Oryctolagus cuniculus: one gene and its partners. The protein of the gene in region 3 interacts with the protein of the main gene of each other region in a pairwise test. Links are inferred from orthologs where the notes say so. Each region holds a gene or a part of one and is shown on either strand. Other genes may lie near its edges.

What was found. The genes of interacting proteins can lie anywhere in the genome.
Region 1: the proteins of USHBP1 (region 3) and KLHL38 interact in binary tests that used the Homo sapiens proteins (3 or more experiments, as listed by UniProt). The two-hybrid records come from large-scale screens. The link is inferred for Oryctolagus cuniculus from reciprocal best matches to the Homo sapiens genes USHBP1 and KLHL38.
Region 2: the proteins of USHBP1 (region 3) and DYDC1 interact in binary tests that used the Homo sapiens proteins (3 or more experiments, as listed by UniProt). The two-hybrid records come from large-scale screens. The link is inferred for Oryctolagus cuniculus from reciprocal best matches to the Homo sapiens genes USHBP1 and DYDC1.

Annotation. Positions count from the first base shown.
Region 1 is NC_091437.1:149,368,194-149,371,323, reverse strand, and holds the end of KLHL38 (kelch-like protein 38), read left to right. Parts: intron 1-380; coding exon 381-486; intron 487-1,438; coding exon 1,439-1,737; 3' UTR 1,738-2,560; downstream 2,561-3,130.
Region 2 is NC_091446.1:71,137,837-71,141,483, reverse strand, and holds part of DYDC1 (DPY30 domain-containing protein 1), read left to right. Parts: intron 1-1,519; coding exon 1,520-1,612; intron 1,613-3,025; coding exon 3,026-3,076; intron 3,077-3,647. UniProt on the Homo sapiens protein: Functions as part of axonemal radial spoke complexes that play an important part in the motility of sperm and cilia. Plays a crucial role during acrosome biogenesis.
Region 3 is NC_091447.1:65,254,393-65,258,278, reverse strand, and holds the end of USHBP1 (harmonin-binding protein USHBP1), read left to right. Parts: intron 1-19; coding exon 20-145; intron 146-272; coding exon 273-409; intron 410-595; coding exon 596-736; intron 737-812; coding exon 813-968; intron 969-1,060; coding exon 1,061-1,310; intron 1,311-1,535; coding exon 1,536-1,760; intron 1,761-2,393; coding exon 2,394-2,491; intron 2,492-2,668; coding exon 2,669-2,791; intron 2,792-3,044; coding exon 3,045-3,240; 3' UTR 3,241-3,287; downstream 3,288-3,886.

The sequences.
Region 1 (3,130 bases), on a different chromosome or scaffold from region 3:
TCTCCTATCTATTAATATTCAGTAATACTAATAGCTATGGCTTAACTGGAAAGAAAAAACTCACTCCTTGTTCACCTTCTTAATTACTCCTTCTGTATTTTTCAAACCTTCCAACAGAAGTAAAAAGTCACAGGTCCCACCACACAGTGGGGTGCATGGGTTCACAATGATACATTGTATCCTGTAGAAAGAACTAAGAGAGGAGCTGGCAGGTTCCAGACATGAAGGCAGGGAAATGAAAAGGCTAATTGCCTTGTTTGATCGGCTGGCTCTATACATATATGGGTTGCAATTTTGCACTCTACCCCATGAAAATGTATGCATTTTACACCCCAAAATGTGCTTTTGAATGCAGTTCCCTGGATCTATTTCTCCCACAGGTTTATCACATTTCCAGAAACACGTGGTTCAAAATGGAGACCAGGATGATCAAGAACGTGTGTGCCCCGGCAGTGGTGCTGGGGGAGCGGATCGTCATTGTGGGAGGTGAGTGTGAACAGACAGCCGGGCGACTCCTGGGACAATGGCTCTCTGACAGACAGGTGCACAGCCAACCCGAGAAAGCCCTCTCCTTACCCAGAACCATCTCCCTGTCTTTCTGTACAGAAGGGACAAAGTCATGCCTACTTCCTAGAGTTATGACAATAAAGCATACTGCTGTGGCTCGAGCTCTTAGCATACCGCAGACACACAGCAACAGAAAACTATCTGCTGTTGTTGCTAACACTGGCCACTGACAGATCTGTAACATCAGCTACCAATACTAATAATACTGGCTACGAACACACTGGTACCGTTGGCTATCAGGATCAATAACACTGACTACTACTGGATTTCTCTGTAACTGCAACACAGTGCTGTGGTTTAAAGGACTGGTTTTGGCATCAGATAGATCTGGGTTCAATTCCTGACTCTTCCACTAACTGGCTATATGCTCTTTGGCACGTTACTAGGCTTTCTTTGCCTCAGTTTGCCATCAGTAAAATGGGGGTCCTCTAAGTACCCACCAGATAGGGCTACTGTGGCCACCTATTTCTGATTTCCAAAAGGAAGACTTCTTCCTCTGGGTTGTTCCAGCTTTTGGACAGGAGTATGAGAGGGAGAAAAACCAGTGAGGCTGAGAAAGCTACTAGAACTGAGAGGTCGCTCCTAATCTAAAGGTGGTTGATATGTGGCCTTAACTTGGGGTGAAGGATGCAGGAGCCAGGCTCAGCCAGATCTGGGCCCCAACCCCAGCTTTGCCACATACCACGCCATGGCAGCGTAGCTCAGCGGCCCACGCTGTAGCTGAGGATTGCCGCAGCCTCAGGGCAGGGCAGGGGAGGGAGCTGGCTGCATCCCAGTTGGATGTGGAGGGGACTGGGAAGTAGAAGGGACCAGCTAACCTCCCAGCCCAGACGAGCAACACTGAACTGCCCGTGCGCCGTTGCGTTTTCAGGCTACACAAGGAGGATTCTTGCTTATGACCCTCAGTCTAACAAATTCGCCAAATGCGCGGACATGAAAGACCGGAGGATGCACCACGGGGCCACGGTGATGGGGAACAAGCTGTACGTGACGGGCGGGCGGCGGCTGACCAGCGACTGCAACATCGAGGACTCCGCCTCCTTTGACTGCTACGATCCCGAAACAGACACGTGGACGTCCCAGGGACAGCTGCCTCACACACTCTTTGACCACGCCTGCCTCACTCTGCAGTGCCTGCCCCACACAGCCTCCAGAAGCCTCCTGTCTTAGTCAAGATGCTTCCTGTCGCAAGGGACAGAAACCCAGCTCCACAGGGCTTCGCCCTACAGGGATTCAGGGAGAGTCCACAGGACTAGACCTGGAGCCCCGGACCCACACATACTGATGCCACAGACACACACCTCGCCTGGGCCCCGCTTCTTCCTTAGTCTGCCTCCTCTCCTTCTGCCTCTATTTCTCTCTCTCTGAGCCTGTCTCTGCCTTCCCCTCTCTCTGCCTCTTTGTCTCTGCCTCTTTGTCTCTGCCTCCCCACCTTCTCTCCATTAGGCTTCAGTCTCTAACAAGCATCTTCACCCACACAGTGTGCGGACAACGACCCCTGGGAAATCCAGATTGACGTGCTGTAGCTTTGCATCTTCAGGAGCAAACTTGACCCTTACCCACATAGTCACAAAAAATAAACAAATAATGCCGACGGGCCCTTTCTGAACCCCATCCCTACCTCTGGAGCCAACACTGTGGCCAGTTATTTTCCCACTGTAAGATGGGTCCCGGACCACATCCCCCTGGGCAGAGATGTGTGAACTGTTGTGGATAACGGCCCATCTGAACTGCAGGTAATGGGATAGCAGCAGTTCCCCAAACCAAGAAATTCTGGGCTAACAAGAAACGTATCTGCCCAGGGCTCCACTGCTAAGGATCCCTGGGAGCGCTTAGGACAGGTGGCAGCGTGAGAAATGGCCGTGGCTGTATCTCGCCACGTTCTGTGGATGGACTACCTTGCAATGCCAGGAAACGTGCACTGAACATTGAGAATCTAGTGTTTAGAAAGCAGTCCTGCCCTGCCAGAATAAAGATTGCTTCTGGTGCCAAACGATGTTTTCCTCCAGCCTCTGGGGAACCATAAACCTGCAGAATTAATCAGGATTTTCATTTTGGTAAATGTTATGAGAATTGCTCTTCAGGGGAAAGCGAACAGATTCCTCAGAAATTGCAGCAAGCATTGCCCTCCAGGCGCCAGCCCTGACTGTCCCCAGAGCCCCCTTTCCCCTCAAGCCCCTCCCAAACTGGGGAGTCAGCACTACCCACAGGTACCATCACCTGGAAAGAGGTTTGAACAGGGGGCCAAGCTCCCCTGCAAACAGATGCATGGGGAGTCTCACAGGTGGGGCCCAGGACTCTGCATTTTGGGACTGCTTCCCCAGATGATGGTAATGTGCCATCAGGGTAGAGTCACCATCCTGGTCAGCTGGGGCACTGAGAACCTTCCTCGCTGGTACCACTCCCATCCCGCCTTGGCCATGCCCAGCAGTGTAGGCCAAGTCCTTGCCCATGGACAGCAGCACGTGGCATGGGTCTTGCCGCCCAGAGTGGCCCCCACAATGCTGCCTGCCTCCCCACCCAGCTCTCCAGGTCTGTGCTGTGCTCCTCTTTTCTGCCCAGC
Region 2 (3,647 bases), on a different chromosome or scaffold from region 3:
TGCTTTCATATGAGTTGAGAATATTGTGAATGAGTGCTTATGTTGATACCACATTCTTTAGTACAGTGCTATATAATAAAAGCCATATTTTTTTAAAAGATTTATTTATTTTACTTGAAAGTCAGAGTTACACAGACAGAGGAGAGGCAGAGAGAGAGAGAGAGAGAGAGAGAGAGAGGTCTTCCATCCGCTGGTTCACTCCCCAATTGGCTTCAACGGCTGGGAACTGCACCCATCTGAAGCCAGGAGCCAGGAGCTTCTTCCAGGTCTCCCATGTGGGTGTAGGGGCCCAAGGATTTGGGCCATCTTCTACTGCTTTCCCAGGCCATAGCAGAGAGCTGGATCTGAAGTGGAGCAGCCGGGACTCGAACTGGTGCCCACATGGGATGTCGGCACTTCAGGCTATGGTGTTAACCTGCTGTGCCACAGCGCTGGCCCCAAAGCAATATTTTTCTGTTTCATTTGATAACAAAATATGGGACAGGCATTTAGTGTAGCGATGAAGACTGTGCTTGGGATGCTTGCATCCCATATCAGAGTGCCTGGGTTCAAGAGTCGGTCCTGCTCCCAATCCTAGCTTCCTGCCAATGTGTACCCTGGGAGGCAGCAGGTGATAGCTCAAGTACTTGGGTCCCTGCCACCCATGTGGGAGACCTGGATTGAGTTCCTGGCATTTGGAAATTGAATCGGCAGATGGGAGACCTCTGTCCCTATCTCTCTGCCTCTCTGCCTCCCGATGAAATAAATGTAAAAATGGACAACAGAATAATCCATACTCCATTGTGCCTTAAAAGTGTGACGTTCAGAGTTCACTTTTCTTGTTTTGGTTGATGGGTATAATTAAAATAAAAATGTGCATGTTAGTTATACTGAGGTACTGCAAATCCCATTGATTTATAACATTGTCATTGTGATTTGCAGCCAGTGGACTGAGCAGACGTGCAAAACAATGTTAGCACCTCATATGGTCTCTGTTGGAAGTAAAAGCAGTTGTAGGCCATACATAAGCAAATAAGATGAACATGAGCATGGTGTAAAGGCCATTCCTAGCTTATGGGCTGGACAATTTGAGTCAGATTTGGCCCCTAGACTGTATTGCTGACCCCAATTTTAGCGCAACATATATTGTTGGTTATTCACGGTTCAGATAATATTCTTAAGATTTCCTCACCTACTGTTCTGCAACCAAGATTTGGCTATTTGAATATTCATTTATTTTATCTAGAGAAATTGGTGCAGTCTCATTTGTAGCTTCAAGAACAAAGAAGTGACTTCATTTTGTCCAAATTGTAGTTTCCAAAATTAGCAGTTAAGAAAGCTTCTTTTTTAAAAAAAATCCTGTACTTCATGAAATACTTGTAGAACCTAAAATATTAAGTGACTGTGACCATTTATTTTTGTGAGTTGCTGAAATTTCAGTGGGTATAACATAATTACCCTGGAACATTTAAAAGTTACAGTGTTAATTCCTTGCACTTAATCTGACTGTAATCTGACTTATGTATTTCTGAATGTTCAGCAACAGCTGGCGCTCCAGCTGGAGTTGGAAATGCAAGAAAAGGAGAGACAGAGAATAGAGGAACTGCAGAGAGCTCAAGAACAACTGGAGAAGGTAATTTGAAGTTTTATAAATGTTTTGTTTGAAGATATATTAAGTTCTTTGAAATACTGAGGGTTTTTGATCTCTGAGACAGTAGTATGTTAGATGTATTAGCAACAATAATTTACATTTAACATGTTTTCATGCAGATTTTTTTTTGACAGGCAGAGTTAGACAGTGAGAGAGACAGAGAGAAAAGTCTTCCTTTTCCGTTGGTTCACCCCCCAAATGGCTGCTATGGCCGGCACACCGCGCTGATCCGAAGGCAGGAGCCAGGTGCTTCCTCCTGGTCTCCCATGGGGTGCAGGGCCCAAGCACTTGGGCCATCCTCCACTGCCCTCCCGGGCCACAGTAGAGATCTGGACTGGAAGAGGAGCAACCGGGACAGAACCGGTGCCCCAACTGGGACTAGAACCCGGGGTGCCAGCGCCGCAGGTGGAGGATTAGCCTAGTGAGCCGCGGCGCCTGCCCTGACTGCTTCACTTCTGATCCAGCTTCCTGCTAATGGCCTGGGAGGGCAGAGGAAGATGGCCAACATGTGTGGGAGACCAGGGTGGGGTTCCTGGCTCCTGGCTTTGGCTGGTCCCAACCCAGCCAGTGTGGTCCTTTGGAGAGTAAACCAGCATGGAGGATTTCTGTCTCACTGTCTCTTCTTCTCTGTCACTCTGTCTTTGAAATAGTCTTTCAAAAAAGTTTTATTTAATTATATATGAAACATAGTTATCTTCTATTACTATAGAGTGTCGCTCCCCCTCTTCGCGGAGGAACGACACAGGACCCTGCGCTGTTCTTTTGTCTGCTTGGCCCTTCCCGGGTTTGCTGCTGGTCCTTCCCGGGTTGGCTGCCGTCCCTCCACCTCCGTGGAGGGGCGGGCCTCCCTGCCACTTTCCCCACTTCCGTGGGGGAGCGGCACACCGCCGGCCGGCTCTCTCGGGGGCCGCACAGGTGTTCCTTCAGATAGATGTTCCTGGTGCATGTTGTCTCTCTCCTCCTTTATAGTCCTCTTCCACCAATCCCAACTCTGCTACCCACACGCCGAGCACGCTGCTCTCCTCCAATCAGGAGCAGGTCCTGCAGCTTGTCAAGTTGGTGAGAGGCAGCTGTGTAGAAGCTGTTTACTCCTCTCCCAGTGCCATATTGTGGGAGAGCAGATGCATAGAATAAGTCTTAATTCCAGTAACTTAGTCTAGTTGGAGTTGCTCCCCACAATAGAGTAGTAAATAAAAAAAATAAAGTAAATACAATAAAAGTAAATAAAGTCAAGGTCTGTGATTTTGTGTTAAGTACATTCAGATCACTCTTCAAAGACTGATAGAATTTGGCTTTAGGTTGAATATAGCATTGGTAAAAATAAAAATGCTTGGAAATTAATGTGAAGCAAAATGAAGTATGTTCAAAGTATTCTTTTCATTTTATCTGTTACAGGAAATGAGAATGGAAAGTATCGCTAAGGGTGAGGATAGTTTACGTTCAGAGGTGAGAAGCAAAAGATTTTATTTTATGTGAAATGAATGAGTTTCCTGAAATGTAAGGCTTAATTTTGATGCATTAGTAGCTAACTTTTAAATAAGGATATTATCACAATTGATATTCAAAATATATATTCTAGTAATAACAAGTCACAGATATGATGTGCTTTGAAGCAAAATTTCAAAGTGGATAGAAAAAATTGGGCATTCAACTTGTATTTTTTAAAGATTTATTTATTTATTTGAAAGTCATAGTTATATAGAGAGAGGAGAAGGAGAGGCAGAGAGAGAGAGAGGTCTTCCATCTGCTGGTTCACTCCGCACTTGGTCGCAATGTTTGGAGCTACAGCTAGCTGAAGCCGGGAGCCAGGAGCTTCTTCCAGTCTCCCATGTGGGTGCAGGGACCCAAGGACTTGGGCCATCTTCTACTGCTTCCCCAGTCCATAGCAGAGAGCTGTATCGGAAGTGGAGCAGCTGGCACTTGAACTGGTGCCCATATGGGATGCTGGCACTGCAGGCCAGGGCATTCACCCACTGTGCCACAGTGCCAGCCCTGTTGTTTGTATTTTTAAAGAGAG
Region 3 (3,886 bases):
TTGTCCTCACCCCTCGCAGGTCCAGGAGCTACAGGATGCTCTGATGAGGCTGGAGCCCCTGTCTCCGCGCACCCACAGCCACGCTGGAGGCTCAGGGAGTGGTTCTAGCAGTTCTGGGGCGGATGGGGAGCCCTGGGGGGGTCAGGTGAGTGCGAGAGGCGCAACCCGCAGCATCCAGGCAGGGGAGACCCGGATCCTGGCTCTGGGGGGTTGCATGGCCCTGGGTTCTCGGTGGCCATCTGGCTGGCTCAGGGCACACGTCCTCCCTGCAGGACTCCCTCTCCCTGGCTCACCCGCTGCTCCGGCGCATCCGGAGTGACTCCAGTGTGCACATCCTGGGCTCTCTCCCCTCGCGACCCCTGGCCCCCGAGATGCAGATCCTGGAGGCCCAGATGGAACAGCTCCGCGGGTGAGCGCCACCACTGCTGAGCTTTTAAGGGCACCGGCCGCTGTCCTGCCGCCCCGGGGATGGGCGTCTAAGCCCCGGGGATGGGCGTCTAAACGGGGTAGGAGCGGGGTGGAAACTGGCCCCTGGCTGCTCCCCCCCTCCAAAGAGTCCCCTCGTTTTCCCTCTCCCTCCCCCACCCCGAGACAGAAACATCGAGAAGCTCAAATGCTTCAACCGGCTGCTACTGGCCGTGCTGCAAGGGCGCAAGGGCCGGTGTGAGAGCCTCAGCATGCGGCTGAGCCAGCGGGAAGCCGAGGCTACAGCCCTGCGGCTGGCGCTGCAGGACAGGTCAGGGGAGAGGTCCCCGCGGGGGAGGGGCCGCGAGCCACGGCGTGGGAGGGCGCTCAGGACCCCCGTCCCGCAGTGAGCACCGTGAGGCCGTGTGCGCGGCTCTCCTGGCCCTGCACGAGGCCAGCTCCGGAGCGCGGGACTTGGAGGCCACTGAGAGGGAGGCGTGGCGGCTGCTGGCACAGGAGGAGGGCGGCGCAGACGCCGCGGCACCGCGGAAGGCACAGCCAAGGTAGGCGCCCGGGGACCGCGCTGGGCCTTGGGGCTCCCCGGGGCTGGCCTCCGTGATGGCCTGCGGCACCCACTCCTCCTCTCCTCCCGCAGCCCCGAGGGCAGCAGTGTGGATAAACCCACACCGCAGGAAGTGGCCGCCCTGCTGCAGGGCTATGCCCGGCGTCTGCGGCAGCGCCAGGCTCTGGTGAAGACCCCCCCAGAGCCGGGCCCCACCGTGGAGCCCACGCCCACCATGCCCCACGCAGAAGCCATGGTGCAGGCCATGCTGGAAGCCCAGCCCGGCCCGGCCCTGCCGCGGTTGGAGAAGATGGAGATACAGAGGGAACTGGTGGCCACACGGGTACACAGGGGCTGTGGTCCCTGGGGGGGGGGGGTCAGAACCGACAGAGGTGTGGTTGGGATGGGGAGGGGGAAAGGTTCTGCTGGGCTGGGAAGGGCTTCCTGGAGGGAGAATTGAAGCTGGGGTTTTGAGGGATGAATAGGAGTTTTGTTACTCACAGACCTCTCAATCCAGTTTTTCCCAAACGTGCTCGCCAGCCTCAGTTTCCCCTCCCCGACCCCTCAGGAGACCCTGGCGGACCTGATGTTGCAGCTGCAGCTGGTGCGGCGGGAGAAGCGGGGCCTGGAGCTGCGGGAGGCGGCGCTGCGCGCCCAGGGCCCCGCCCACGCACTCCTGCTGGAGCAGCTACAGTGGGAGCGCGCGCAGCTGGGAGCCGCGGGGCCCCACAGCGGCGCGGGGGACAGCAGCGGGGCGGGCAGCAGCGAGGAGGAGGAGGAGGAGCGGCCCCAGGTGAGCGGCCCTTCGGGGGTCGCTGCCCTTGGCCCCTAGGGGTTCAGTGGATGAGAGAGAGAGAGGGAGAGAGGTCTTCCATCTGCCGGTTCACTCCCCACATGGCTGCAAAGGCCGGGTCTGGGCCAGGAGCCGGGAGCTCCATCCGGGTCTCCCACGTGGGCGGCAGGACCCAAGCCCTGGAGTCGTGGGCCCCTGCCTCCCAGGGGGCGCATGCGCAGGGAGCTGGGGCGCACGCAGATCAGCTGGGACGCCACCAACACTCTGATACGGCCACGGCTGTCCCAGGCAGCAGCCCGCCCCGCGGTGCCACCACACCGCCCCTGCCCCAGGCTTCTAAACGGGGCTCTTCGCATCACCCCTCCCACCTGCAAGCCGGTGCTGCCACCAGGAATGTCCACCGTCTCCAGGAAGCCCTCCTGGGTTGCCCTCAAAGGAGCAATATTCGGCACCCCACCCCACCCCGGCCCTGTGACTTATCTCCCTTATCAGGGACTTGAGGGTCTCTTAGCAGAATGGGGGCTCTGGGAAGCGAGGGGCTCTGGCTGCCCCCCCCCCAGGCCAGCTTCTATGCCCAGGCTGGGCTGAGCACTTCTAGACAGAGGTCACCTCCCTCCCTTCTGTCTCCTACAGGGTCCTCCTGCTGTCCCCAACGCCACCGAGGGAGGCCAGGTGGGCAGGGCGTGGGACCCGGAGAGGTTAGCCCAGGAGCTGGCCGCTTCGCTCGCCAGGTGTGTGCCTGGGTGGGTTCTGCGGAGGAGGCGGGGGTGGGGACGTGTGTGTGTGTGTGTGTGTGTGTGTGTGTGTGTGGTGTGGCAGCGTGCGCCTGCGCGCAGGGGCGTGGGGAGCGGAGAGGAGGACCGGGTCGGGCCGCGGCCGGAGCCCCGCTGTCTCCACTCCCGCGCCAGGGCCGCGGATCTTCGCGCTCAGCTGCGGGCTCTGTGGCGGGAGCTGGAGCAGGTGGCTCAGAAGGGGCGCGTCCGGCGGGCTCAGAGCGCCGAGCTGAACAGCGATCTATGCAAGGCGCACAGGTGGGCCGCCGCCCCCCGCAGCCCACCCCTGCTGACCGCGGGTGTGTCCCTGGGCCTCGTTCCCCCCACTTGGAAGATAGTGAGCGGGTGCAGTGCAGGCCACGCCTTTCCTGCAGGATGCCCGGAGCCAGCTAGGACGTAGCCCCGCCCCCGCGGCGCCCCGCCCCGCCCCCGCCGCAGCCCTGGGTGGGGTGGGGGTGCTGTTCTCTGGGGTGGGGCGCTGTTCCCCGGCTCAGCCACCCACACCCTGCAGTGCCCTGGTCCTGGCGTTCAGAGGCGCCCACCGGAAGCAGGAGGAGCAGCGGCGCAAGTTGGAGGAGCAGGTGGCAATCCTGGAGGCCCGGCAGGCGGAGGAGTTGGCAGCACTGGAAGCCACGGCCCGGGCGCTGGAACAGCCCGGGTGCCCCTGCCCGCCTCCTCCCCCCCAGCTTGGGGAGACCTTGCTGTAGGCTCCACCCCCAGCCACGTGTCATAAACCGGCCTGGAGTGACTTGTCGCCCTGGGGTGCATGTGTCCTCATGGGTGGGGACCGGTTGCCTGGGCCACCGGGGTCAGGCTGTGAAGGTCATGGTCTCCCCCTCCCCCCCCCGGGACCCGGAACAATCAATCCAGGGGACAGGGAAGGTGGCAGAGCCCGAGCTGATGTCCCCAAGTCCTTTCTTTGTCCAGAAACCCAGGGCGGGCCCCTGGGGACAGGACACTCGTCCCCTGCCCATCTGCTTCCCAGGGAACAATCCAGAACAACTGGAGGCCCCCAAGGTTGGGGTTCAGGTTCAGGTTCAAGGCGTGGATGGTCGGCTGGAAGAGGAATCAGGGTTTGTGGAGGCTGAGGGCAGGCATCAGAGAAAAGTCTGGAACTCTCGATGCGTGTCCTTCCGGGGAGGGGGTGGGGCACAGGCCTGCCGGGCCCTGGGCAGCCTGGGAGCTTCCAGATCTCCCGCGGAGGTTGGGGGCAGCGGGAGGCGTTCCTGCCAGGTTAATTGCAGGCGACTGATTAGCATGTCATTTGCATAGGCCGCACCCCCAGCCCCTCCGCAGCAGGCTGGCTGGCCCTAGGGGGCTGGGATTAGTAACCCTAGACAGGAGGGATTAGGA